Linked DNA regions of Struthio camelus. The protein of the gene in region 1 interacts with the protein of each later gene in a biochemical or structural test. Links are inferred from orthologs where the notes say so. Each region holds a gene or a part of one and is shown in the gene's direction. Other genes may lie near its edges.

Region 1 (11,963 bases):
CCCCGGCACCAGCCGCCCTGGCCAAGGGCTCGGAGAACGAGGTGAGGGCTGGGGGGGCGATGTCCGGCCCCCGGGGCAAGGGGAGCCCGCGGGTGGGATCCGCCACGCCACCGTTCACCGTCTCTGCTTCTCTTTCCTTTTTTCCTCCAGCCGGACAAGCAGCCTGGAGCATCCAGCCCCGGGGGGATCCCAGGACCCCCAGGTGCCCCTGGGCTGCCTGGCCAGCCCGGCCCCCCAGGCTACCCAGGACACGAAGGCCCCCCTGGGCTGCCCGGGCGGGAGGGCCCGCAGGGGCCCCCCGGCCCGCCGGGGGCTGTGGGGCCACCCGGTTTCCCGGGGGCCGAAGGGCCTCCGGGATCTCTAGGCTCGGCTGGGCCAGATGGACCCCCGGGGGCCCCGGGACTGCCAGGCCCCCAAGGACCCCCCGGGGTCCCGGGGCACGAAGGGCCCCCCGGGCCCCCAGGAGCTGCGTCGCTGCCCGGCAGCCCAGGGCTTCGAGGGGAGCCCGGCTTCCCCGGACTGAAGGTACGGGGAGCCCGGGGTGGGGGGGGGACGGAGCCGGCGGCCCCCCGCTCTGCCCCTCGACAGGGCGATCCGCACCCCGGAGCAAGGGACCCGGCACCGGGCTGCCGGGTCCCCCCCAGCCCCGCGGCGGCTGCGGCACCTGGGGGGGACGTGGGGTGCTGTGCTCCCACCCGCCGTGTCCGCGGCGCTGAGCCCCGCGCCGTGTCCCGGCAGGGCGAGAAGGGCGAACACGGGCTGCCGGGCATGCCGGGCAGCCCCGGGCGGACCGGCGACACGGGCTCGCCCGGCATGCCCGGTCCCATGGGACCGCCGGGACCACCGGGCGACTACAGGGTGAGTGGCCCCGCGGGATGCGGGTGCTCGGAGGTGGCCGGGGGGGAGGACGGGGCAGCCGCCCCCCGACGCTCATCCAGCCGTGCCCTCCTCTCCTCCCAGTGCGACCCGCGCCTCGCCGGGCACCACGGATCAGCGGGGCCGCCGGGACCCAAGGTGAGCGGGGAGAGGGGGCGGCGGGTGCAGCCTCTGCCCCGCTCCCGCTGCGCCCGCCGGTCCTGGCGGAGCCGCACAAAGCGACGCCACGTGCATCGCCCGGATGCCGCCCGGAGCCAGGGTGCTCATGGGCCCCCTCTGCTTTCCTTCCAGGGTGACAAGGGCGACCCCGGAGAGCGGGTTTGTAGCCGCGGGCGAGCAGGCTGGGGTGCCCCCTCCCTCCGAGCCCGGCGTGCCAGCAGCCTCGTGCCCGGCCCCGGGTGCAGCTCCCGCGTCCCCACTTCCCCGCCGCGCCAGGGCACGGCCAGCAGTTGCCTCGCTGCATTGGCACAGCCAAAGCCCGGGGCGGGGGATCTGCCTGAGTTTGGCCCAACTCATCTCACTTGTGAGCTTGGGCAGATTCCCGAAAGCAGGCTGGGGCGCCGGGGGGAGCGAGTCCCGCATGCACACGTGTGCACACGTGCACACACGCGTGTGCATGCCCGCAGCGCGCGCACCCCTCCCTGCTGCCCGGCGCGGGCTCTCATGGCGCCTCTCTCTGCGGCTCGCCCAGGGATGCTGCTACGGGGAACCCGGCTGCAAACCCGGCCACCACCTCCCCTTCCCCGGCGCCGGCGGCCAGCCCGGCTCCTGGGTGCCCATCCAGTACCCGCCGGTGAGTCCCGCCGAGCTGGCGGAGCCCAGGGAGACCCCCGGGGCCGGGCCCCAGCAAGCGGGGCGTGCGGGCTGCGCGGGCGATGGAGGGACAGACGGACGGGAGGAGGGTGGAGGGACAGGCGGACGACGGCAGAGCCTCTGCTGGAGGCGGCCTCGATCCTCTCCCTTTTTCTCTGCAGAACGGCAAAGAGGAGCCAGAGCTGTACGGCGCGATCATCCCCCACGTGAGACTGCCTGGCGCTGCGGCCCCCCGCCCCGGGGGGGGCCCAGCACTTTCAGTGCCCCCAGCACTGAAAGACCCCGATCCGATCTCTGCACCGCTCTCTACCGCAGGGTCCCCGAGGTCCCCCCGGCGATCCCGGCCCCCCCGGCCCCCCCGGCCCGCCCGGAGCACCAGCTCTGCTCTACCTCAACGTAAGGCTGTGCACGCGCGTGCGAACGCGCCCCGTGCGAACGCGCCCCGTGCAAAGCCGCCTGTCTTTGCTTCCAGAGGGTGTACCCGGCGCGCGCCCAGCCGCCCTGCAAGCAGCCGGTGAGCGTGGGCCTTGCGTCCCTGCCCGCCGCCCGCCCCTGGGCCTGGCGCCCCTCTGCTGGGCCAAGGGGCCCCGGCCCGGCCCCGCCACCCGTCTCGGCCCCGGCCCCACGAGGCTCGTGCATCCCCCTCCGTGCACCGGGATCACTGCTCGTGCATCCCCCTCCGTGCACCGGGACTGCCGCTCGTGCATCCCCCTCCGTGCACCGGGACCGCCGGCTCATGCATCCCCCTCCGTGCACCGGGATCACTGCTCGTGCATCCCCCTCCGTGCACCGGGATCACTGCTCATGCATCCCCCTCCGTGCACCGGGATCACTGCTCGTGCATCCCCCTCCGTGCACTGGGACTGCCGCTCGTGCATCCCCCTCCGTGCACCGGGATCACTGCTCGTGCATCCCCCTCCGTGCACCGGGATCACTGCTTGTGCATCCCCCTCCGTGCACCGGGACTGCCGCTCGTGCATCCCCCTCCGTGCACCGGGACCGCCGGGCCGGGCGCTGCGCGGGGAAGGGGGGGCCGCATGCCCGGCGCTGCAGTAACAAACCCCGTCGGCTTTTGCAGGCAGCCGCCGCCGCAGCCTGGCCAGCGGGTAAGGGCATTTCCCGGGCGTTTTGGGTGGGCTCCGGCCTCCTCGGAAGCAGGGCCGTGGGGCGGGCAGCGCCGGACCCCCCCCCCGCCGGCGTGCCGGGCTGCGCGCTGACCCCGGCCCCTCTCCGGCCCCTCCAGACGCTGACGCCTCTCGGACGGAGCCGCCGGACCCCCGCGGCGCGGACCTCCGGGTGCGTCCCAGTGCCCTCGAGGCGGGGGCGAGGGACGGGGCCGCCCCGCGCCCAGGCGCCGGCTCATGCACCTCTGCACCCCCCCCGCCCTCGCTCAGCGCCAGACGTGGGTGTTCGGGTCCAAGGAGCTGATGCTGAAGGCGGGCTCGGCCGTGCCCGAGGGCAGCCTGGTCTACGTGCGCCAAGGGAGCAGCGCCTTCCTGCGGACGCCGCGGGGCTGGAGCAGACTCCTGGTACTGAGCGGGTACCCGAAGGGCGCCGGGCTCCAGCCCCAGCAGCCGCCTCTGGATTTGGCCCCGGAGCAGCCCGGCGAAGGCAGCGGCTTCCCCTCTGACCAGCCCCTCGGCTTCTCGCTTTGAGCAGCTGGAGGATTCGGAGGCGCTCTTCGCCGGCGACGACCCCTCTGCGTCTCCCCCCGGCCCCCAGGTGAGGGCTGCGGGCGGCGAGCGGGTCGGGGGCACGGCGTCCTCCGCGGACGCGCCAGCCCCGCGCTCGCTCCTCTCCGCCCGGGAGGCGAAGCAGCTGCAGGCGAAAGGTCCCGACACGGAGCCGCCCGCCGTGGCGCCGGCGGCCTCGCAGGTGAGCGCCGCGCCGCAGGGACAAGCGTCCCTCCCCGGAGCGCTGGCCGGGCGCCCGCCGAGCCGGCAGCCGGGGCGCCGCAGCAGGCGGGGGGACTCCGGCAGGGCAGCGTGGCTCTGTGCCCGGCATGGCTGAGCCGGAGACCGACGTGACCCACCTTCCCCCAGGCCCACAAGGAGGAGGGACCGGGGACGCCCGGGATGCTGCCGACCGCCGTGGCCCCCAGGGTCCCTTCGGTAAGAGCTGTCCCGCTTCCCGGCCCCTTCCCGGCCCCCCGGGAGCTGGCGCCGGGTCGCCCAGCTGCAGGAGAGGTGGGAGAGGTGCCCCGGGGTCCCTCCGTGTCCTGCCGGGAAAGGCAACGCTTTCTGTCCAGGGAAAACCCTCTGCGTCCTGCTGGGAAATGCCCTCCGTGTCCTGCCGGGAAAGGCAGGGCTTGGTGCCGGGGCGGGGGGGAATCCCACCGCCGGGGCAGCCGGAGGGTCAAGCGCTCGGGGCGGAGGAGCAGAGACCCGGCAGCCGGGCGAGGGAGCAGGACGGGCGCCGGGGGCCGCCGGCTCAGGCGGTGCCCGGCCTCCCCAGCTCCGTCTGGCAGCCTTGAACGCGCCCCTCTCCGGGGACATGAGCGGCATCCGGGGCGCCGACCTGCAGTGCTACCGGCAGTCCCAGGAGGCCCGGCTCTACGGCACCTTCCGGGCGTTCCTCTCGGCCCCCACCCAGGACCTGGTCTCCATCGTCAAGCGGACGGACAGGACGCTGCCCGTCGTCAACCTCAAGGCAGGTAGCCCCGCGCCCCAGCTGCCGCCCCGGCCGGGGGCGACGGGCTGAGGCGGCATCCGCCGGGCACTGGGCACCGTCCTTGTCCGAAACGCCACCCCGCCACCACCGCCGCTCGCGCTTGCAGGGGCAGCTGCTGGCCAAGAGCTGGAGCTCCCTCTTTGAGGGCCAGGCCGGCGCCACTCGGCGCGTCCCCATCTACACCTTCGACGGACGTGACGTCCTCAGCCATCCCCTGTGGTGAGCGGGGCTGGCACGGCGGGTCCCCCAAAGGTGTCCTCCTTCACCTCCACCACCACCACCACCACCACCACTACCACCACCCTCCACGGGTCTGGTGCAGCAGGTCCCCCAAAGGTGTCCTCCTCCATCCCCACCACCATCACCACCACCACCACCACCCTCCATGGGTCTGGTGCAGCAGGTCCCCCAAAGGTGTCCTCCTCCATCCCCACCACCACCACCACCACCCTCCACGGGTCTGGTGCAGCAGGTCCCCCAAAGGTGTCCTCCTCCATCCCCACCACCATCACCACCACCACCACCACCACCACCACCATCCTCCACGGGGCCAGCACAGCAGGTCCCCCAAAGGTGTCCTCCTCCATCCCCACCACCATCACCACCACCACCACCCCCACCACCCTCCACGGGGCCGGCACAGCGGGTCCCCTCAAAGGTGTCCTCCTCCACCCCCACCCCCACCACCATCCTCCGCCAGGCCGGCGCGTGCCGGGGCCGGCCGTGAGGAGACGGTGCTGTGTCCGCAGGCCCCATCGGCTGGCCTGGCATGGCTCCGACCCTCGCGGCGGCTCGGCTCGCGGCCGGCACTGCTACGGTTGGCGGCGCTCCGGCTCGGCCCAGGGGCTGGCGGCCCCCCTGGGTCGGGGCGAGCTGCTGGCTGGGCAGCGCTACAACTGCTCCGAAGTCCTGGCCGTGCTGTGCGTGGAGGTGGCCTTCCCCTACCGGCACATGTGGTGAGCGAGGAGCCGGCCGAGGCCCCGCCGGAGGCTCCGCGCTGCCGCCGGGATGGCCGCCGCGGGGTGCTCGGCCATCCCCCCTTCCCACCCTCCCCGAACCCTCGCTCCTCGTCCCCTGCGCATCCCCGCTGGTCCCCCCGCCCTGCCCCGCGTGTCCATCTGCATCCCGGACCCCACGGCGCAGCCGATGCTGCCATCCCACCCTCCCCCCGGAAATAAACTTTAAATAAATGAATGGGAGGGTCGGTGTTTGGGATGGTGCCCCCCTACCCCACCCCGGGCACGGAGCGGGACGTGCTTTCCCGTTCGGCCGAAGCGGAGCGTCACAGCCTGGAAAGCAGCTGGGCTCTGGGCTTGTTTGCGAGACATGTCGGGGGCGTGTTTGTACACACACACACATATATATACACATATGTTAAAAAAATATATATGTATATATATATATTTGGGTCCCCCCCAATATATATATACACACACATATAGAGGGACCTCCTCCAAGGGTCTGTGTCCCAGCATGTCCCCAAGGCCTGCCCAGTATGTCCCAGTGTGTCCCTAGGGTCTGCCCAGTGTGTCACTATGTCCCCACTGTGTCCCCAGGACCTCTCCCGGTGGGTCTCCAAGGCCTGCCCAATATGTCACTATGTCCCCCTGACCTGCCCAATGTGTCACTGTGTCCCCATGACCTGCCCAGCTGTCCCCAAGGGCCTGCCCACTGTGTCCCAGTGTGTCCCAGTGTGCCCAGTGTGCCTCCTTGACCTGCCCACTGGGTCCCAGAGTGTCCCAGTGTCCCCACGACCTGCCCACTGGGTCTCACTGTGTCCCACTGTGTCCCTATGACCTACCCAGTGTGTCCCTGTGTGTCCCCAGGGCCTGCCCCCTGTGTCCCAGTGTGTCCCACTGTGTCCCAGTGTGTCCCCAGAGCCTGCCCAGTGCCCCCAGGCACCACCCCAGCAGGGCTGGCCGGGGAAGCCCCGTAGCTGGGCCCCGTCACCCAGGCAACCGCGACCCCGCCGGCGTGCCCTAGGGACGCAGCCTCGCCGCCACCTCCCTCCCTTGCTTCTCTATTGGCCGAGATTAGTGCCCGTCATCCAGATGTCCCTTGTGAGTGGCGAGATTTGAACGGCTCCCGCCTTCCCCCCGGCCGGAGTGGCTGGTTTGAAAGAGCGGGGAGCGTTGTGACTGGCTAGGGGAGGTGGGCGGGCGGGGCCTGTGTCCCCGCCTTCGCCCTGCGATTGGCGGGCCGGTTTCGGCGGGCTGAGCGGAGGTTTGAAACGCGCCCGGAGCGGTTAGCGGGCCGCCATCGCCGCCTCTCAGCGCTGCCGCCGCCATGGAACTCGAGGAGTCCCCGTCGCCCCTCCGAGTGCGTGCGGCCGCCGTCCTCTCAGGGCTGCGGGATCTCCCATCCCCTCAGATTCCCCCCCGGGGCCCCTCAAACCCCATCAGATCCCCCCAATTCCCCTCAGATCCCCCCCCGGGGCCCCTCGGATCCCGTCAGATCTCCCCCTAGTTCTCTTCAGATCCGCCCCCGGGGCCCCTCAGATCCCCCCCCGGGGCCCCCCAATTCCCCTCAGATCCCCCCCCCGGGGCCCCTCGGATCCCGTCAGATCTCCCCCTAGTTCCCTTCAGATCCGCCCCCGGGGCCCCTCAGATCCCCCCCCCGGGGCCCCCCAATTCCCCTCAGATCCCCCCCCCGGGGCCCCTCGGACCCCGTCAGATCTCCCCCCCCGGTGACCCCCAATTCCCCTCAGGTTGCCCCCCAGTTCCCCTCAGATCCCCCCCCGGGGCCCCCCAATTCCCCTCAGATCCCCCCCCATCTCCTCATGTCGCCCCTCAGGATCCTCCGCCAGGCTCGTCTCGGGGTCCCCCGCCGCCCCTCTCCCCTTCCACGGCCCCCTCCCGCCGCCGTGGCCGGTCCCCGCTCCCCTCACGGCCCTTGTCTCCCTCCCCGAGCAGCCCCTGGACGAGAACCCGCGGGTGCCCAAGGGCGACGGCGCCAAGAAGCGGCTCTCGGTAGAGCGGATCTACCAGAAGAAGACGCAGCTGGAGCACATCCTGCTCCGGCCCGACACCTACATCGGCTCCGTGGAGCTGGTGACCCAGGTGCGCCGGGGCTGGGAGCACCCCGGGGCTAAGCAGCACCCAGCACCGGGGGGGGGGGGGGGGGGGCGTTAACATGGCCCTCCAGCTAAGTGGGAATCAGTGCTGGGTGCCTCTGCCTTACACCCTGATGGCAGGGAACATGAGGGAAACCTGAAAAACACTTGGGGATGTATGTGTTTTTTTTACTTTCTTTTCAGCAAATGTGGGTTTTTGATGAGGATGTGGGCCTTAACTGCAGAGATGTGACCTATGTGCCTGGCTTGTACAAAATCTTTGATGAGATTCTAGGTGAGCTGTGGGATATCTATTGGACTAGTGATTAGCAAGTTTGTTTGTTTTTTTAAGTTATTTCTGGGTGCTGAAGGTGTAAGAGACCCTTGAACTAAAATTAAGAACTTGGCAAATGTACTTTTTTCCAGTTGACCAAGTAATGTCCTTTGCATAATCCGATGGATGGTGTTCACAGAGTATATCGTTTGTTGACTGTGCTTCAAAATGTTGGATACTAATGTTCTGCCTGGTCTTAATTTCCATTAGTGCCACTAAAGTGTAAGCCATTCTTGGGATGATGGCACTATATATTATAAAGCCAATTCCATTCAGCCCCAGATTCTCCCTTTTATGTTATCCTGTAGTGCTCATCTCTATAACTTGCAAAATCTTTGCCTATCAAGATGATTACTAGTAGCATCTTGTCTTCAATTTTTGTATTCGTTCTACTGAAAGCACTTTATAGTTAATATTTTCTGTCTTGATTGAAAGTGTAATATGCTAAAAATAACAATCTTTCTATTCTAGTCAATGCTGCAGACAACAAGCAGAGGGATAAAAACATGTCATGCATTAAAATTACAATTGATCCGTAAGTTTTATTTCATTTTTTCAGTGTCTTCCCAGTTCACGTATGTTAGATTTTCTTCTTCAGATACTGTTCTGTTAGGCTGGTGTTAGGCAATAGAGAGCTCTTTGCAGAGGCACATTCAAGTTGAACCAAATGTAACTCCTGGAGCTCCACAGCTGCCAACTTGTGTAGCATTATTGACCAATTACAAAAGCCTTTATCTTCTTTAGGTCTCTTGCTCTCTTAGAGCGTTGGCTTGTGAAATCATTGCTTTTACTTCCCCCCCCCCCCCCCCCCCCCCGCCTTGTGGTCGTTTTCTCCTTTCCTTCTTCTCAAATTTTTTATTCTGTTCTTGAGCACAGATTATTTTTGTATGTAACTATTCATATTATAGATGGTATCTGCAGATCTGAGGCTGAAGGTTTTTTTTTTTTGGACTTGTCCTCCCTCTGCTGGCTGTTTTTACACTTGCCGAACATAAATTTACTTTTGATGAAACGGTGGCCTTCTACCATTGATTTTGTATAGCATTTATTTCATAGCTCAGTCATTTCCAGCCTTAAAGACACACTCTCTTCTCCCCCAGAGAGAATAACACGATCAGTGTATGGAACAATGGGAAAGGTATTCCAGTTGTTGAACACAAAGTGGAGAAGGTCTATGTGCCTGCTCTTATTTTTGGACAGCTATTAACCTCAAGCAACTATGATGATGATGAAAAGAAAGTCACAGGTAGGGAAGTCTCTAAATTAAGTGCTAATATTTTTGTGCTGCCTGATCAGCTTAAATGTGTGAACTGAATTACCCAGTGTGAGTGAGCAGTAGCTAGCAGGTTTCATCAAGACTGCTTGTTCTGAATAAAGGTGACACTAACTGGTCCCTTGCTGTTCTCCTTGTTAAGAAAAAGAAGTGATGTTGATGCAGCATAAAAATGGAATCCCTGAGTGTATCAGAGGGACGTTTCCATGCTGTATTTTATAATAAAAATGGTACAGTCATGGAGAACAGGAGGAATTCCCTTTGAAAACTAATTCCCATTAAATATGGGTATATAGTCATGTGCTAAGTTTGTAGGATATTGTCATTCATGGTGAGTCGTACTTTGACAGTGCTGAAGGGACTGAATTCTTGTTAGTCTGGAATTCTTTTAGATGGTTTTGAACAAATGTAACAACATAGATCTGTTTGCGTTACAATTCCAGGTGGTCGAAATGGTTATGGAGCCAAACTGTGCAACATATTTAGCACAAAATTTACTGTAGAAACTGCATGTCGTGAATACAAAAAATTATTTAAGCAGGTATGGACACTTTCTTTAATTCTGTTTTCTCATTTCAGTAAGGTTGTACTTGAGATTCTCAAATAAGAGCCTACGTTCTTATTCCAATTTAGATGTTGTTTGCCTGGTGCAAATTTGTATTTGTACCATGACTAGAATAACTTTGGCCCACAGCTACTGTACTGCTAATTTTGATTCAAATAAGTAATGAAAAGAGCAGACAATCAGGATCTAATTTTTAACCAGTGGGGTTTTTTTTTAATCTCCAAGTATTTAAAACTTGTAAATCAGCTCTCTGATTTTAAAAATTAAGCTAGTTACTCATATTTCCATTTTTATCTCAGACCTGGACAGACAACATGGGAAAGGCTGGTGAAATGAAGCTGAAATATTTTGATGGAGAAGATTACACATGTATCACTTTCCAACCTGATCTATCAAAGTTTAAAATGACAATTCTGGATAAAGATATTGTAGCACTAATGTCTCGAAGAGCGTATGATATTGCTGGGTCCACGAAGGATGTCAAAGTTTTCCTAAATGGAAAGAAACTGCCTGTGAGTGAGCATTTAAAGGAAATAATATCTATACTTCTCATGACGTTTGAACAATGAGATTTGGTTCAAGCAATTTACATCATTACATGTGGCGAAGTGAAAATTCACATAAGTGATTTATAGTATTTATAGGCACTGTTATTAACAAATTCTCTGCTTTTATCTGCATGTAGGTGAAAGGATTCCGTAGCTATGTGGACCTCTATGTAAAGGACAAAGTGGATGAAACTGGTAATATGCTTAAGGTTATCCATGAGGAACCAAATTCTCGATGGGAAGTGTGTTTGACTTTAAGTGAAAAAGGCTTCCAGCAAGTTAGCTTTGTCAATAGCATTGCTACCACCAAGGTAACTCTTCTTTACCTTATTTAGTCATGTTAATGACATATTCTTCATTATTAGTATTCCTAGGTATTTCCGAATGTATGTTAGTGAAAAATAGTTAATTTGTGCAAAGACCATACTTAGCTTTGAATAGCAGTACGTATTTTTTTTTTCCCCAATGGAATCACCTCAAGATCTTTGATCCCTTTTTTCCCTTAGGGCGGCAGGCATGTTGATTATGTAGCTGACCAGATTGTGACCAAACTCATTGAAGTTGTGAAGAAGAAGAACAAAAATGGAGTTGGAGTAAAGCCTTTTCAGGTACAGACTCAGAATCTCCCTAGTAGGAAATGTAGCTCTAGCATTTTTGCAAATTGTAGCTACAACCTGATGAATTATTACAATAGTCTAATTTAAAATAAATATTTCCATTGTAAAGATTTTTTAGATAGATAGATAGATAGATATAAAAAATGTGCTAATTATAGAAGCCTTATATTTTCCATTTTAAACCAACTAACAATCTTCTCTTCCTTTAGCTGTTGTATTTTGTAATCAGAGCACCATAAATCATTGCAGATGCACTAAAAATATCAGATGATACCTATTTTGGAGGAAAGCTGCTGATTTCTTAACATCCAAAATCATATAATGTTGTTCATGAATGTTTGTGAGCTGTCCTAAATTCTATCAGTTCTGTTTAATTAGACGTGTAGAAAAATTAGAAAAAAAAATGGTGATGATTGAACTAGTTCTTCTTTCAGCGTGATTCTGATAGGCAAATGTTAGAAGGCCCTGTGAGATGAGCTGGTAAAATTTGTAATGGTAGTTGTATTTAACTGCAGGTGAAGAACCACATGTGGATTTTTGTGAATGCTTTGATCGAAAATCCAACCTTTGACTCTCAGACTAAAGAGAATATGACTCTGCAGGCAAAGAACTTTGGCTCAACGTGTAAACTGAGTGAAAAATTTATCAAGGGTGTAAGTACTGGAATACACTGGTTTCAGTTATAGATGTCTATAAAGCCGCATCTTATATTTAATGTGGCAGATATACTACTCATGAACTAATGTCAGTTTAAACAAAATGAATATATGCCTTAAAATTATGTCACAGTTGAGGCTTTTCTCACAATTGAATCTCTTGTATTGCAGGCTGTCGGCTGTGGTATTGTTGAGAGTATCCTGAACTGGGTAAAATTTAAAGCTCAGACCCAGCTGAATAAGAAATGTTCAGCTGTGAAACACACTAAAATTAAGGGCATTCCTAAGCTGGATGATGCCAATGATGCCGGTAAGTGCTTTATGTCCTTTCTAACCAGTTCATTCAAACACAGTTAAAAAGTGTTTGTTAGACAAATGAAAGAATTGTCTCCTAAGGAAAGTGAGAAAATTCTGCAATTATAGCTTATCCTCATTTTGTAGTCAGTCCTATGTGCAGTCCAACAAAACCTGTGTGTGTTAGAAGAAATTTATTCTCATTCATTTTCTGAGCATACCAATTCTGATTGCACTTCTTAATTAGAAAATCGACTTGCTTTTT
Region 2 (12,192 bases), on another chromosome or scaffold:
GCTCCTGCTTGCTAGGGCCCTACTTCAAACATAATATTCACAGCCCTCCGCTTACCATGATATTTCCCATGGGACCACTTTCTCCTTCTCCGTACGTGGAGATAATGACGTTCACATTTTCCACAATGCGCTGGAAGGTCTGGTACAGCTCTTCAGGCTCCAGCTGAAGTTCCAGCAGCGCTCGGTCCATCTTGTTCATCATTAGAACAGGCTTGATCCTCTCAGCAATGGCCTGACGCAACACAGTCTCTGTCTGCACGCATACACCTGTCAGACACAGGGGAAGGAGTTAGCACCGTTTCTGAACTTGCCTGACGCACTCCAGGGGCACCTGGTTGCCGAACACCTTACCAGAGACGCAGTCGACGACAACCAGGGCACCATCAGTGACACGGAGAGCAGCAGTGACCTCTGAAGAGAAGTCCACATGTCCAGGAGAGTCAATTAGGTTGATCAAAAAACCAGAACCATCCTTGCTCTGCTTGATGAAGGCCAAATCGTTTTCAGAGAGCTCATAGAATAAAGAGATAGCTCTGAAATAAAAGAAAAACTAATAAAAATGGTTATCTACTCTTTACCCTCTCCAGTCCTTAGAAAGCAAATACAGCAAATATAAGCTGCCTGTCCTGCACAGAGAGCTGCACTTGGGCTTAAGGCTTTCCTACAACGTATTCCTAAGATGCCAGTATGGTGGGTGCTTACAAGTTTAAGCTAAAAACAGCACAGCTTATGCCTTTCTGAAATCCTAACCTCCTCTAGCTCCATACAACCCAGAGGACACAGCGTATGGTTTCTTTTGGTCCAGTATTTAAGCTTTTCTAATAGTCCCAATCCCCTTTTTCATCCCTTTTATGCCCATTAGGGGTCGTCAAACTGGTTAACAGTCCAGTACGCTCCACTAGTGATTTTGTCAGGGGTACTGCCAGAGATGCTCCAGACAACAACGGCTGCTCGCACGCGGTCTCAGGACTGCATCCGCGGGACTCCAGCGAACATGAGCCACGCTAAACTGAGCTAGTGCTAAAATGGAAGGCTGAGCACATCCCTTTCCCAGGGGCCATCAAGATAGCACTTTATGATTCACCACAAGTAAATCAATACTTGCTCTTTCATTTAAGCAGTCCTCACGACAAGGAAGAGAGAAGCTTCTCAACTAGACTAGACTAGAGGGAGCCTGACAGTCTCTTCTTTCATCTCGTGACCAAAACCAGGTCTAGGGCTCAAGGCACTCTCGAGGTCAGACCATGTACCAAGAGCACTAAGGCCCTTGAAGGAAGGGAACTCACGTTGACTTGATAGTGATGCACCTTTCCTGCTCATCTTTTCTCGTGTCAGTGAAACGGGTCTCCCCCGCACGGGCAGAGGCAATGATACCAGCTTTGCAGACCAGAGAGTCAGTCAAGGTTGATTTGCCATGATCAACATGGGCAATCACAGACATGTTTCTGATGTTGGCCTTTTTGTCCATGATGGCCCGTATCTGGTCTACTGTGAAGTTCACCTTAAGGTAAGGGAGAAAAAGAAAAACGCAGCATATGTAAAAACAGCTTCAGCTCTTCCAGGAGCATCAAGCAACAACGTCAATACCTGGCGTTGCCAAGTTTAGTCACACTGACGTTAATTCTGCTTGCACAGCCAGCGTTATAAGACAACCCACAGGAAGAACTTCAAGGGCATCACAGACGCGAATATTTTGGCGAGGAGGGGTCTGGGCCAGCAGGGCAGGCACTCAGCAGCCCTCGGTGCCCTACAAACTGCGGCAGTCTCCGCATTTCCTTGACGGAAACCGCACTGAAGCCGAAGCCGCTTTCTCAAGGAGCCCCTCAGCAGAGCCGGTCTCTGCTCCACGCCGCGACGTGACAGCTCGGCACCCAGGTGCAGCTGCCCCTGCCCGGGCCGCAGCGTTACATAAGACAGCCGGCGCCCGCCGCAGAGCCCCCGATCCCGGCGGCAGCACCGCCCCGCCGGCGGCTCGGCCCCGGTGCCACATCACCGCCCCCACCCCCCCCCCCGCCGCGGGGAGGAGGCGCTGCCCGGCCGGGCCCCAGCGGCGCGGCCGCCCCAGGACGGCTAACGAAGGGCCCTGCCCGGGCCGGCACAGCGAAACGCGTCCCAGGACCCCCCCCCAAGCCTCCACCCCCGCGACAAGAGCCCGGAGTCCCCCCGGGGGCGCCTCGGCCCTCTTCCCCCCGCTCTCGGCTGCGGCTCAAGCCGGCACCCACGGGCGGGCCCGGCGCCGCAGGCCCCTGCCCCCGCCGCAGGCCCCGCGGCTGCGCGGTCGCAGCCATCCTGCCCGGCGCGGCGGGCGCGGCGGCCGCCCAGCCTCCCGGCGCGGCGGCGGGGCGCGGGGCCTCACCATGGTGGCGGATGGCGGCGGATTCTCCGGGGCGCGGGGGGGGTGGTGCAGCAATGGCGGCGGCGACGGCCCTGTCTCGCTGGCGAGCGCAGAGCGGGCGGAAGAGAACGCTGACGTCAACCGCCCCCTTCTTATACGGCGGCGCCGGCTGAGGGGCGGAGTCGGTGGCGCCGGCGCGCCAGGCGCATGCGCTGAGGCGCCTGTCTAGCCCTCCGCTGTCGGGAGGCTCGATGGTTGGGAGGGCTGTTCCGCCGGGGCGGGGACCACGTGGCCGCGCACCGGCACCAGCCCGGGGCCTGCGGGCGGGGGGGGGAGGTGAAGGGGAGCAGACCGGAGCGGGGCTCCCGCATTGCCAGTGCTCTGCTCAGGCGGGGCGGGGGCAAAGCCCCTCCCCACCTGCCGCCAAACACCGGCATGTGAACGGGAACCCGGACCAGTATGGCCCGTGGCAGCAGAGCGACCCCAAAAACGGAGCTGGTGCGAGGGCTGGGGCCTGCACGGGACGAGCAGGGCCTGGCCTCGGACACCCGGGCAGGGTACCGGGCCTGACGCTGCCTTCACACCTCCCTCCCGCCATCCCCCTGCTGTGGGGCCACTGGTGCCTGCCACCACTGGCCCCAGGGCCCCCGGCATGGTGCTCGCTCCCAGGGGCTTCGCCAGCCGTTAAACACGCCACGAGAGAAAGCTGTGCGCTGCCGGGGCTGCTGTCACCGCCTTCACGTCGTCCCCAGTCATGCCACGCGCTCGAGGAGCCGCTACAAAGTCAGTGAGGGCTCCTCTCCTGCCAGCAGGAACCCTGCCACTGATTTCATTAGAGAGCAACCGAACCCTGGGGGAAGCCTTTCTTGGTTCGCTCTTACCCCGAGAACATGTTACGGCAGAGCGAAGCATGTACCTTGGTCTGTACAGGGCAGAGAAATAAAAGAGGTAACAACAAATTAAAGAAAACGAACAATTAAAGCAGGTGAATGTTCTGCTTTTAAAATCTGTGGGCAATTCCTTGCTGGCATTAAAAATGCAGGTGACGTTTTCTTTTTTTTCTATGGAAAACTTAAGTTTTCCTCTCTTTTTCCCTGATTTTCCAGGGGCTGCGCTGATTTGCATCCCGAGCATTAAGGAGCGGTTGGTGAGCTCAGCTGTAAATTGCAGAGCATTTGGGGCCGATTCATCAGCGCTGTGATCCGAGTCCTGCATCGGTGGCCCCTGCACCTGCAGGGACTCGTGGCACGCGGCTTCCTGCCCGGGGTGCGAAATCCTGTCGTGGCCTCCAGGATCAGGGCGACAGTGCCTCACCTCGGGTTCCCGTGCTCTGCAGAGCGAGACCTATCGAGAACAAAGTGCGAACAAACCCCCGCTGCAGCACATGCTTTATGCCCTCACGCGAAGACCTGGCAGCCGGGCGCGCAGCGAGGACAGAGCAGGGGGAACCGCCTGCGCGAGGCTTTCGGGGGGGGGGGAGGCTCCCCTGGGCGGACTGCAGCCGCCCCCTCGCAGGGAGGCAGCAAGGGCAGAGCCATGCAGGGAAGGCTGCGGCGCCTGGCGGGCTGCAGCTAAGCCCGGCCATCGCTGCAAGGCTGCTGCCTGCACTGCAATGTCACTGCAGGGCCTCTGCTCTCACTGCAGTCCCCTGCCCTCGCTGCAGAGCTCTGCTGCAATCCCCTGCCCTCGCTGCAGGCCCTGCCTGGCCCCCGGCAGCCCCCGCCGTCCCCGTCCCCAAATGCCATTTCTGCGGTCGCTCGCTCCGCTCCTGCCCCCCCCCCCGCCGCCCTCCGCAGGGCCCCCGCGCTGCGCATGCGCCAGCCCGGCCGGCGGAGGGGAGGGGGCAGCGCCGCAGCGCCCCCTGCGGGCGGGGAGGGAGCGCTGCGGGGCCGAGCGTGCCCGGTTCCCCCCCCCCCACCCCGGGGGGCGCTGCATCCCCGAAACGTGCCCCACAACGCCCGCCGATGTCCCCAGCCGTGTCCCCGGGGCGGCTCCCGCCACTGCACCACGACAGCAAGGGTGCCGGCGAGGCGCGCGCGAGGCCGGGGCTCTCGCCCCGCTGCCGCCGGCCGGAGGGCCTGGCCCGCGTCCCCAGCCGCCCCGGGGGCTGGCACGGCTGGCGATGGCACGGGCCCCCAGCGCCTGCGCTGGGCAGGACGAGGGGTACGGGCTGTAGGAGCCCTGGAAAGGCCACGCACCTCCTTGCCGCGCTCCCAAGCCACGCCTGGCTTGAGCGGGATGCGGAGGGAGGGGTGTAGCTGGAGGAAGGATCTGCAGAGCTGCTCGACTCCAGCTGGGACCCCAGGGGCCATAGCCAGTCCTCTGGTGAGCCAAAAGCACCCATCCAGCTGCCTTGCTCTTCCTTTGGTAGCTGACACGCGCAAGATCTTCGCCATCGGCTGTCCCTGGTAAAGCTTCACGAACCCACAGCTCTCTTCCAAACTTCGCTCCTACGCCAGGAGGTCTCTAAGAAGGGCCTGACATGCTGGTTCAGCCATGGGTGTATGTTCTTTGTCTCTCAAAGTGCCCTGCAAAATCACTGGGTGTTCACATTCTACCTTTTAGAGCAACAGTAACGAGCAGCCATCCTGCAGACGGTCTCAGACTGACACAAATGATTCCTCATGCTCCGGCAGAGATGAAGCAGGGATAATTCGATGGAAAGACATGGAACGACTACACAGGGTGAGAGAAGACCCAGTCTGCAGTTTTAGGAGGACTCCCTCATCTCCAGTGCAGGAACAAAGGCCAAAATCCCTTCACTTTGTTTTAGCAAATGGGAAAACTGAAGCGCTACGCGGTGAAGAGAATTACCTGAGCTAAGATCAAATTAAAAGGAGACTGAGAGCGAGGGCAAGTAAAGAGAGACTCCACAGCACAGCACAGCAGGATGCAACTCTCCATCTCCATACCATAAATATTTTGCATCTTTTTTTACGTCCTTCTCTTCAGCATCATAGAAGACTGTTGCTTTACTTCCATCAGCTGCAACATATTAAAAAAAAAAAAAAACCTCTAATAAATCCAAGCCACTTTGTCCCCAAGCCACCTCGCCAGGCAGCTCAGGTCGCTGCCAAATTCCCAGCACATCCCCAGCCCACCGGTCCCCTCCACTATCTGCGGTGCCCAGGGAGTTGCCGGTGGAGCTACGCCAGGAATCACCTTGGCCCCGGGAGGCTGTGAGCCCCGCGCTCCCCTTGTGACAGGATGAGTTATCAGCTGTTGGGGTTGCCACAGCAACCGTTTGAATTTTTTAGCACCAATGCTGGCTTTTGCCAGACTGGAAGGGGAGGCTGGGGAGCCTGATTAACATGTTGGCCTGCCTGGGAAACTAGCCCATTGCCTTTTTGTTTAATTGGCCTGGGGGACTGATGACAAGAAGGGGAAAGTGCTGGAAAGCCTCCGTCTCCTCCAACGGCACGGGGTCTTCGGGGACCGTCCCCTCTCGTGTACATCCGGGCGTGATGGGCCATCACAGCCCGCAGGCGCGCAGGTGCCCAGGGGCTCTCTGTTGTCTCCTGGTAATTCAGCCTGAAGTTGCCTGGATGTAGTTGCTCGGCCCACGTGAAAGGGACTGTGCTGGGCGCTCGTTCCTGGCCTCACGCTTAGAAACGGAGCACCCAGATCCCAGCGGGAAAAGAGTGACTTGCAGGCAGGTTTCAGCTGGGGAGAACTCATTTCTATCTACACATAAGGCGTTTTTAGCAGGGACGGGTTCTTGGAGGATCAGCTCCTCCCTGGGCACCTAGAAATATGGAGAGAGACACTGACCTGGGGGTTTCTGGGGCGCCGTCACCACGGGGCGGTCGGTTCCCAGCTGCAGCGCCGGGTGTCTCAGCGACGCAACGCCGCGTGCTCGGGAGGGCGCCGTGTCGGGTGACAGCATCACAGGAGTTTCTGGAGGCCTTGGTCCCTCAGAGCAGAGGCAGGGGGTTAACGGCCCCTGGAATAAGCGGAGTGCTCGTTATTGGTGTATGCGCAAGCGTCTGGCAGCTCTGAGGCCTGCGACTGAACAGCAAAGCCTGAGATAAGCAAGTGGAGGCTGCTGCCGAGGGAGAATTAGATTTGTGCCCTTTGTTTTCCTCTGACGAGGAGGGATCTACAAGCTGTCAGGTTCCTTTGGGTTTTTTTTTCCCCTCCAGAGGGTTTTTAACCTTAGAAATGCCTGTTTCAGCTGCCTGCTCCCCAGAAAACACCTTCCAGGCAAACTACAGGTGACCAGACCCAACGTCCCCGTATTTTAGGCCATTTTCAGAAGTGGGGGCAAACAAAAAACCTGCCCCTTCCCTGGGGTGACCGCAGCCGGACGCGGGCAGGCGCCTCCGGTTCAGGCCACCGCCGTGCCCACGAACGAGCCCGGGCCTCGAAGGAGCGCGTGGAGGTTCGGGCAGGGGTCAAGGCCACAGGACAGGCCGCCAAGGGCGCTCCCGCTGGCCCCGGGGCCTGTACCCCGGTTGGGGCCTGTACCCCGGTTGGGGCCTGGTGCGGCCTGCCTGCCCCACGGCCATTTTGGGGGTGCTGCGCATCGCTCCCTGCCCCCCCCCCCACCGTGGGCACACCCCTCCCCACCGGCTCCCCTCCTGAAGGGCGGCGACCCCGGGAGCCGCCATCGCTGCTCCACCCCCCACCGCCGCCCCCTCCTCCGGTAACGCTGCCGCCTCCCGGCTTCCCGGGGCGCTGCCCCTTTAAGGCAGCCGGGAAGGCGTGGCCGGGCGGGGCGTGGCCAGTGCGCCTGCGCCGCGGCGCCGCGGCCCGCGGGGAGAAGGGCGCGCGCGCGCGCGCGGATTGGGCGGCGCGCGCCACCCGCGGCCCCTCCCCGCCCCCCGTCCGTCCGCGGGCGTCACGTGACTCGGCGGCGGCTCCCGGCGCGGTGGACGCTGGAGGCCAAGATGGCGGCGGAGCTGGTGGAGGCGAAAGTGAGTGAGCGGCACCTTCCTCCCCCCCCCCCTTTCCTTCCCCCGTCTTCCGCCCCGCCGCCGACTGCGGCCTCAGGGCCGGGCCGCGCGGGGCGGCGGTTCCCGGCGAGGGGGGCGGCGGCGGCGGGGAGGGCGGCGCGGTGCGACGGCGAGAGCCGGGGGGGCGGCACCCCCGGGACCGGCCCCCCCACACACACTTTACCTCAGGAGCCACCGGCCCCGCCCCGGCTTCCCGGGCTCGGCCGCGGCCCCCTCACCGGGCCCAGCCCCCGCCCCCCACAACCGGGGCCTGCCCGGCGCCTCTCGCAGCCCGGCGGGTCCGAGCCTGCCCCTGGGTCCACCCCCCCCCCCCTTCCTCCCTCCCCGCGGCGTGGGCCGCGCTGCTCCCCTTATTAATTACGAGTAATTAATTAAGGCAGGTGGCTTCTCCCGGCCGCCTCCGCGGGGCTCCTTCCCACCCCCCCCTTCCCCCGCCCCGCCGGGCGCCCGCGCGGGGCCCCCAGGCGCCTCGTGCCCGCCGGGCGCGGAGCGGGGCCGCGGGGCGCGGAGCTGTCCAGCCGCCGGGGCCGGTTTTGTGCCGGCTCCGGCCGACGGCGGGGGAGGGGGATTCCGCGGAGGGCAGAGCGTGGAAGTGGGGAAGGAGCGGAAGGTATCCGGGGGGGGGGGGAAGCTTCCCCCCTTGATTCTGCGCGGCATGGAGCTTCCCGGGTATGTCCCAGGCGCTTCCAAATGAAGCGTTTTTAAAGCAAGCGTACCTGAAGTTGTACCGTACTTCCAAAGTGTCCTGTGCGCCGCAGCAGGCCTCCTGCGGAAAGGAGGTTCAGCAGAATAGGACCCGCTCTCTGCTTTATTATTATTGTTTTCCCTTCTCGGAGTCCCAATTTACTCTTCTCTCCCTGATTCTGGGACTTCTCTGTTTTGCTCTGTCAGCGCGCGGCAGCGCAGGGGAGCGACTCGCTGCGCTTGAGCAGACTGCACGCAACGGTGCCATGGCGAAGCTGGCGCTAAGGGTGTTTACTGCGTGACTTCAACGCACAGAAATTGTTAATAGCACCTGCAGGATTAGCTAATAAGTAAGGATGTGGCTAGATGGTTGCAAAAAATAAGATGTGGAGAGTCTATTTTAGGAGTCCCTGTGGTCTCTCCTCTCCCTAGTATTTGGCCCCTCTCAATTGAGCTGAGCCCAGGACGCTTCTGGAGGAGGTATGTTTCCAAGACTTCATCGCTTGCCTCCTTAGCAGATGTTTGAGTGACACAGTTTGCCACTCAGATGCAAGGCTTCCTTGGGGAAAGGAGCTGACTTAAAATTTAGTGTTAAAATAACCTCAGTAGTTAATGTGATCTAAGTACCGCTCGTACTGTCATCCAGATCTAAGCCTCGATGATGCATTTTTCTTTGTGTGAAACTAACTTGTTCTGTTGTTACTGTTCAAATCTGATCATCCTTCTAGGTCTTAAACCTTTCTAAATGTAAACTGTGGAAAACTATTGGGTCAAACTCCACTGTACGTACCTAAGGTCCCAAGTGACCAGCAGCGTAGGAGTATCTGCTGTGCTCAATGTGACTTCCCCGTTACTGCACGACTGAAGTGCTTCACAGCCTTGCTGTAATTATCTTTGCAAATATGCTGTTTATCCTTGAAGTAGTTCTGAGAGTCCAGTACGCTCTCCATTTTGTAGATAGAGCAAATAACGACAGAGGAACTGAACTTGTCCAGGATCACGCAGGTGGTATCTAGCGAAGCAGTGAAGTGAATCCACATCTCCTGAATCCTCGTGTTCTAGCAGTTAAACATCCTTTCTCTCCTCTTTAAAGTTACTTGCCTTTTTCTCACATCAAAGGTATTCTGGGACACATCTCAGCTACCAAAAAATCTAAACTGCAGCCAATGACATTTGTGTGAAGTTCTTTAACATCTCTTGGGTTTCCAGATTAAATGACAGATTTCATGAGAAAGGAGAAAATAAAATGATATTCTTTTTACAGCCTAATTCCCGCACAGGCAGATGTGGCTGTGAAATGTTTCTGGACTAAACAGTAGCTTTAAAAAATTAATTCATCCATGTCATCATCATCTTTTTTTTCCTCCCTCTAGGAAATTGTAAGACTACTATTTTAACTTCCACAGAAAACTGACTTTATGCATTTTTTCTTAAGTGTAATCAGCAAACAAGAGTGGAGGGTAGGTTGGGGAAAAGAGACTTATTGATCTCTCATCCCTGCTTTTGCTCTTTACTATGGAGCAGTTGAGCTTTCTTCTGGAATTCTGACGTTTTCCACAAACAAGGAAGGACGCTGAAGGAATAATCGTGGGTGCCTATCAAGTACATTCTCGTGCAACTTGCATTTTTTTTTTAATGTCCTTTATAAGCTTGCCTTGCACATTCATAAAGCCGCTTGCCATGTGAGAGAACTCAATCGTCAATCTGACCAGACTCTAGCATTAGTCCCAATTGAAATAATTTCTAGTTCTTAGTTTGGTGGAAAATCGCCTTCTAATATAGTATGGTCTTTGAATCTACTGACAAATTATAGGCCTTTTGAGTTTCCACAGCAGCAAGAGGAGTGAATTTGTGAAGACAGATAGTTTTACTGCTTATCAAAACATTGAAATCAATAGTACTAGAGCAAGAGCAAAAGCAGCTACTGGCTGTAATCATGGGAGAATGCTTGGCAAAGCCTCCAAATGGAATCTTGGAGGCATTGTTCTCATGGGAACATCCTTCTCCCTCTTTAATAGTCTTTTAATATCACTCCATAGCCTAAAATATCTGATGCCTTTTTTAAAAGGCCCTGCATATGTAGGGAGAGTTCTGGATTTTTTTTTTTTTTTTGCACATACAGGCAATATCTAGATGCACTGAAATACAGTGCGAAGAATCCTAAAGGACTGGCAGCCCCAGTCCACTGAAATGTCATCCACCCTCCAGTTCACGTTCATTTTCTTCCTTTACCTTACTTGATAATATTTTAGATTAAGCTTTTAATGTAACCCTCTCACCCGAAGGTGCATTGGAAGTCTGCATACTTTGAGCCCCTTCATGGTGAAAGGGGTTAATGTATACTCTACTGTGTGGGGCAGGCTGTTTTGAGTGTTTTACTTTGTGGTCACCATTAGTTCTGGTAGAATTACCTTGAGGACGTTTAGATTTTGAGTTAACTCAGTGACCATCATGTGTCATTTCGCTCATTTGGGTGAATTGGTTGATTTTTTCAATTGATGGTCTCCTTTGTATTTCCTCTGCTCAAACAAGTACCTGGTAAATGGAATGTTAATCAGGCGCAGGACAGCTAATTTGAACAGAAGGCTTGGTATTGTTCTTATACCAGGTTTTTGTTTTTAGTATTTTGGATTCCAGGGTACGTAGTGAGAACTGACACTTTATCTTTTTACAACTGTAAGAACTTTTCTGATCTTTTATTCCCTAGAACATGGTGATGAGTTTCCGAGTCTCGGATCTTCAGATGTTGCTGGGTTTTGTTGGCAGGAGCAAAAGTGGACTTAAACATGAACTAGTCACCAGAGCATTGCAATTGGTTCAATTTGACTGTAGCCCTGAAGTTTTCAAGAAGATTAAAGAGCTCTATGAGACTCGCTATGCCAAGAAGAGCTCTGAGCCAGGGCAGCCCCAGCCACAGCAGCACCGGTCTCCTGAGGCACTCTCCATACATTCTTCATATGACCGTGGGAGCACTGTTGCTAGGACTTCTATCTCAACTAATAATATTGACTATCCTGCGCTCTATGGGAAATACCTTAACGGACTGGGAAGGTTGCCGCCCAAAGTTGTGAAGCCTGAAGTTCGGCTCGTGAAACTTCCCTTCTATACGACCCTGGATGAACTGTTGAAGCCAACAGAGTTAGGTGAGTTGTCTGTATTCTGGTGCTTTTCTGCTGGAGTCGGTCTGGGAAAGAAAACTGAAATAGATAACAAGTGTTGAAAAGATGGCAGTGTTTTCAAGGATCAGTAAAATCGTGTGATGGAAGGAGAAACAGTGATTCATGTTGTGGTGGATGTCTCCCCCCCCCCCCCCCCAGTCTTCCTCCCAGATGCTGTAAGCATGGAGTAGAATATTCTTATCTGTTTTCCCCTTGCCTTAGAACACAAAGGTGGTCACTTTGAGTTGTAACTTGAAAAGCCTGTCTTGTTTGGCTGAAGCTTTCATATCCTTCATTGGAAATGCTGCCGTGTAACATTGCAGTCTTGTGCTGTGAATCACAATCTGTCTTCCTTCTCCCTAATGTAGCAGTATATTGATGAAACTCTTTCTTTCTGTGTTGGTGTTGCACCTGTGCTGGGCGAGTACGCTGACACTTTCTACATTAGAGCTGTTTTTCAGTGCTTAACATACCTAACCTAAATCCTCTTGTGGATGAAAGAAGGTGGTACACATATCAAACAGTATTTCTGACTTTTTTTTTTTTTTTTTAAGCCTATCACAATTCTTTGTGCCTGACACTGTGTATTTTGAGGAGCAACTAGGGAAATCTGAAAATTGGAAGACGCGCTTTCTCCCACTTTGGGGCTAGGTGTCTGACTCTTCATTATTTCAGTTCTGAAATCATTGTACGGTGTTCAGCCTCATTGGCTTATAAAGCAAATATGGTGATACCAGGCCTCACTGTTAAGTGAACCTGGAACTTGGGAAGCTGATCTTTCTTTGCTGAAAAAGCATGTTTCTGCTGTGCCTGAGGACCAAAAAGAACTGTCATAGAGGAAGATAATGCATTTTCTGTCTGTGCAGGTGCGTGAAGGGCTGCAGTATTGGATCATATGTTAGAAATTTGAATAAAGAGCTGTGCGGTGGCTATTGCTGCCTAGTATAGTCAGGTTAGACAAATGTTTGGGATTCGTTGACAGTGATCGGAGCTTTTGTGCAATTTGTCTGACCGCAACTCAGAAATTCCTAAAGCTGTCGTCTTTATAGCAGTGGAACAT

Evidence for each region.
Region 2: of the proteins of TOP2A (region 1) and PIAS4, one has a biochemical effect on the other in vitro, tested with the Homo sapiens proteins (2 studies listed by BioGRID). The link is inferred for Struthio camelus from reciprocal best matches to the Homo sapiens genes TOP2A and PIAS4.

Annotation. Positions count from the first base shown.
Region 1 is NC_090966.1:6,948,638-6,960,600, reverse strand, and holds the start of TOP2A (DNA topoisomerase 2-alpha), read left to right. Parts: upstream 1-6,544; 5' UTR 6,545-6,645; coding exon 6,646-6,678; intron 6,679-7,271; coding exon 7,272-7,418; intron 7,419-7,615; coding exon 7,616-7,706; intron 7,707-8,216; coding exon 8,217-8,280; intron 8,281-8,845; coding exon 8,846-8,991; intron 8,992-9,461; coding exon 9,462-9,559; intron 9,560-9,882; coding exon 9,883-10,095; intron 10,096-10,268; coding exon 10,269-10,442; intron 10,443-10,637; coding exon 10,638-10,739; intron 10,740-11,263; coding exon 11,264-11,401; intron 11,402-11,575; coding exon 11,576-11,714; intron 11,715-11,963. Other genes in the region: collagen alpha-1(XVIII) chain-like, read left to right, coding at 1-41, 151-525, 739-858, 961-1,014, 1,168-1,194, 1,568-1,669, 1,851-1,895, 2,005-2,085 and 10 more. UniProt on the Homo sapiens protein: Key decatenating enzyme that alters DNA topology by binding to two double-stranded DNA molecules, generating a double-stranded break in one of the strands, passing the intact strand through the broken strand, and religating the broken strand.
Region 2 is NC_090967.1:4,282,514-4,294,705, forward strand, and holds the start of PIAS4 (E3 SUMO-protein ligase PIAS4), read left to right. Parts: upstream 1-7,071; 5' UTR 7,072-7,224; coding exon 7,225-7,251; intron 7,252-10,681; coding exon 10,682-11,117; intron 11,118-12,192. Other genes in the region: EEF2 (elongation factor 2), read right to left, coding at 56-267, 352-533, 1,287-1,501, 2,357-2,359.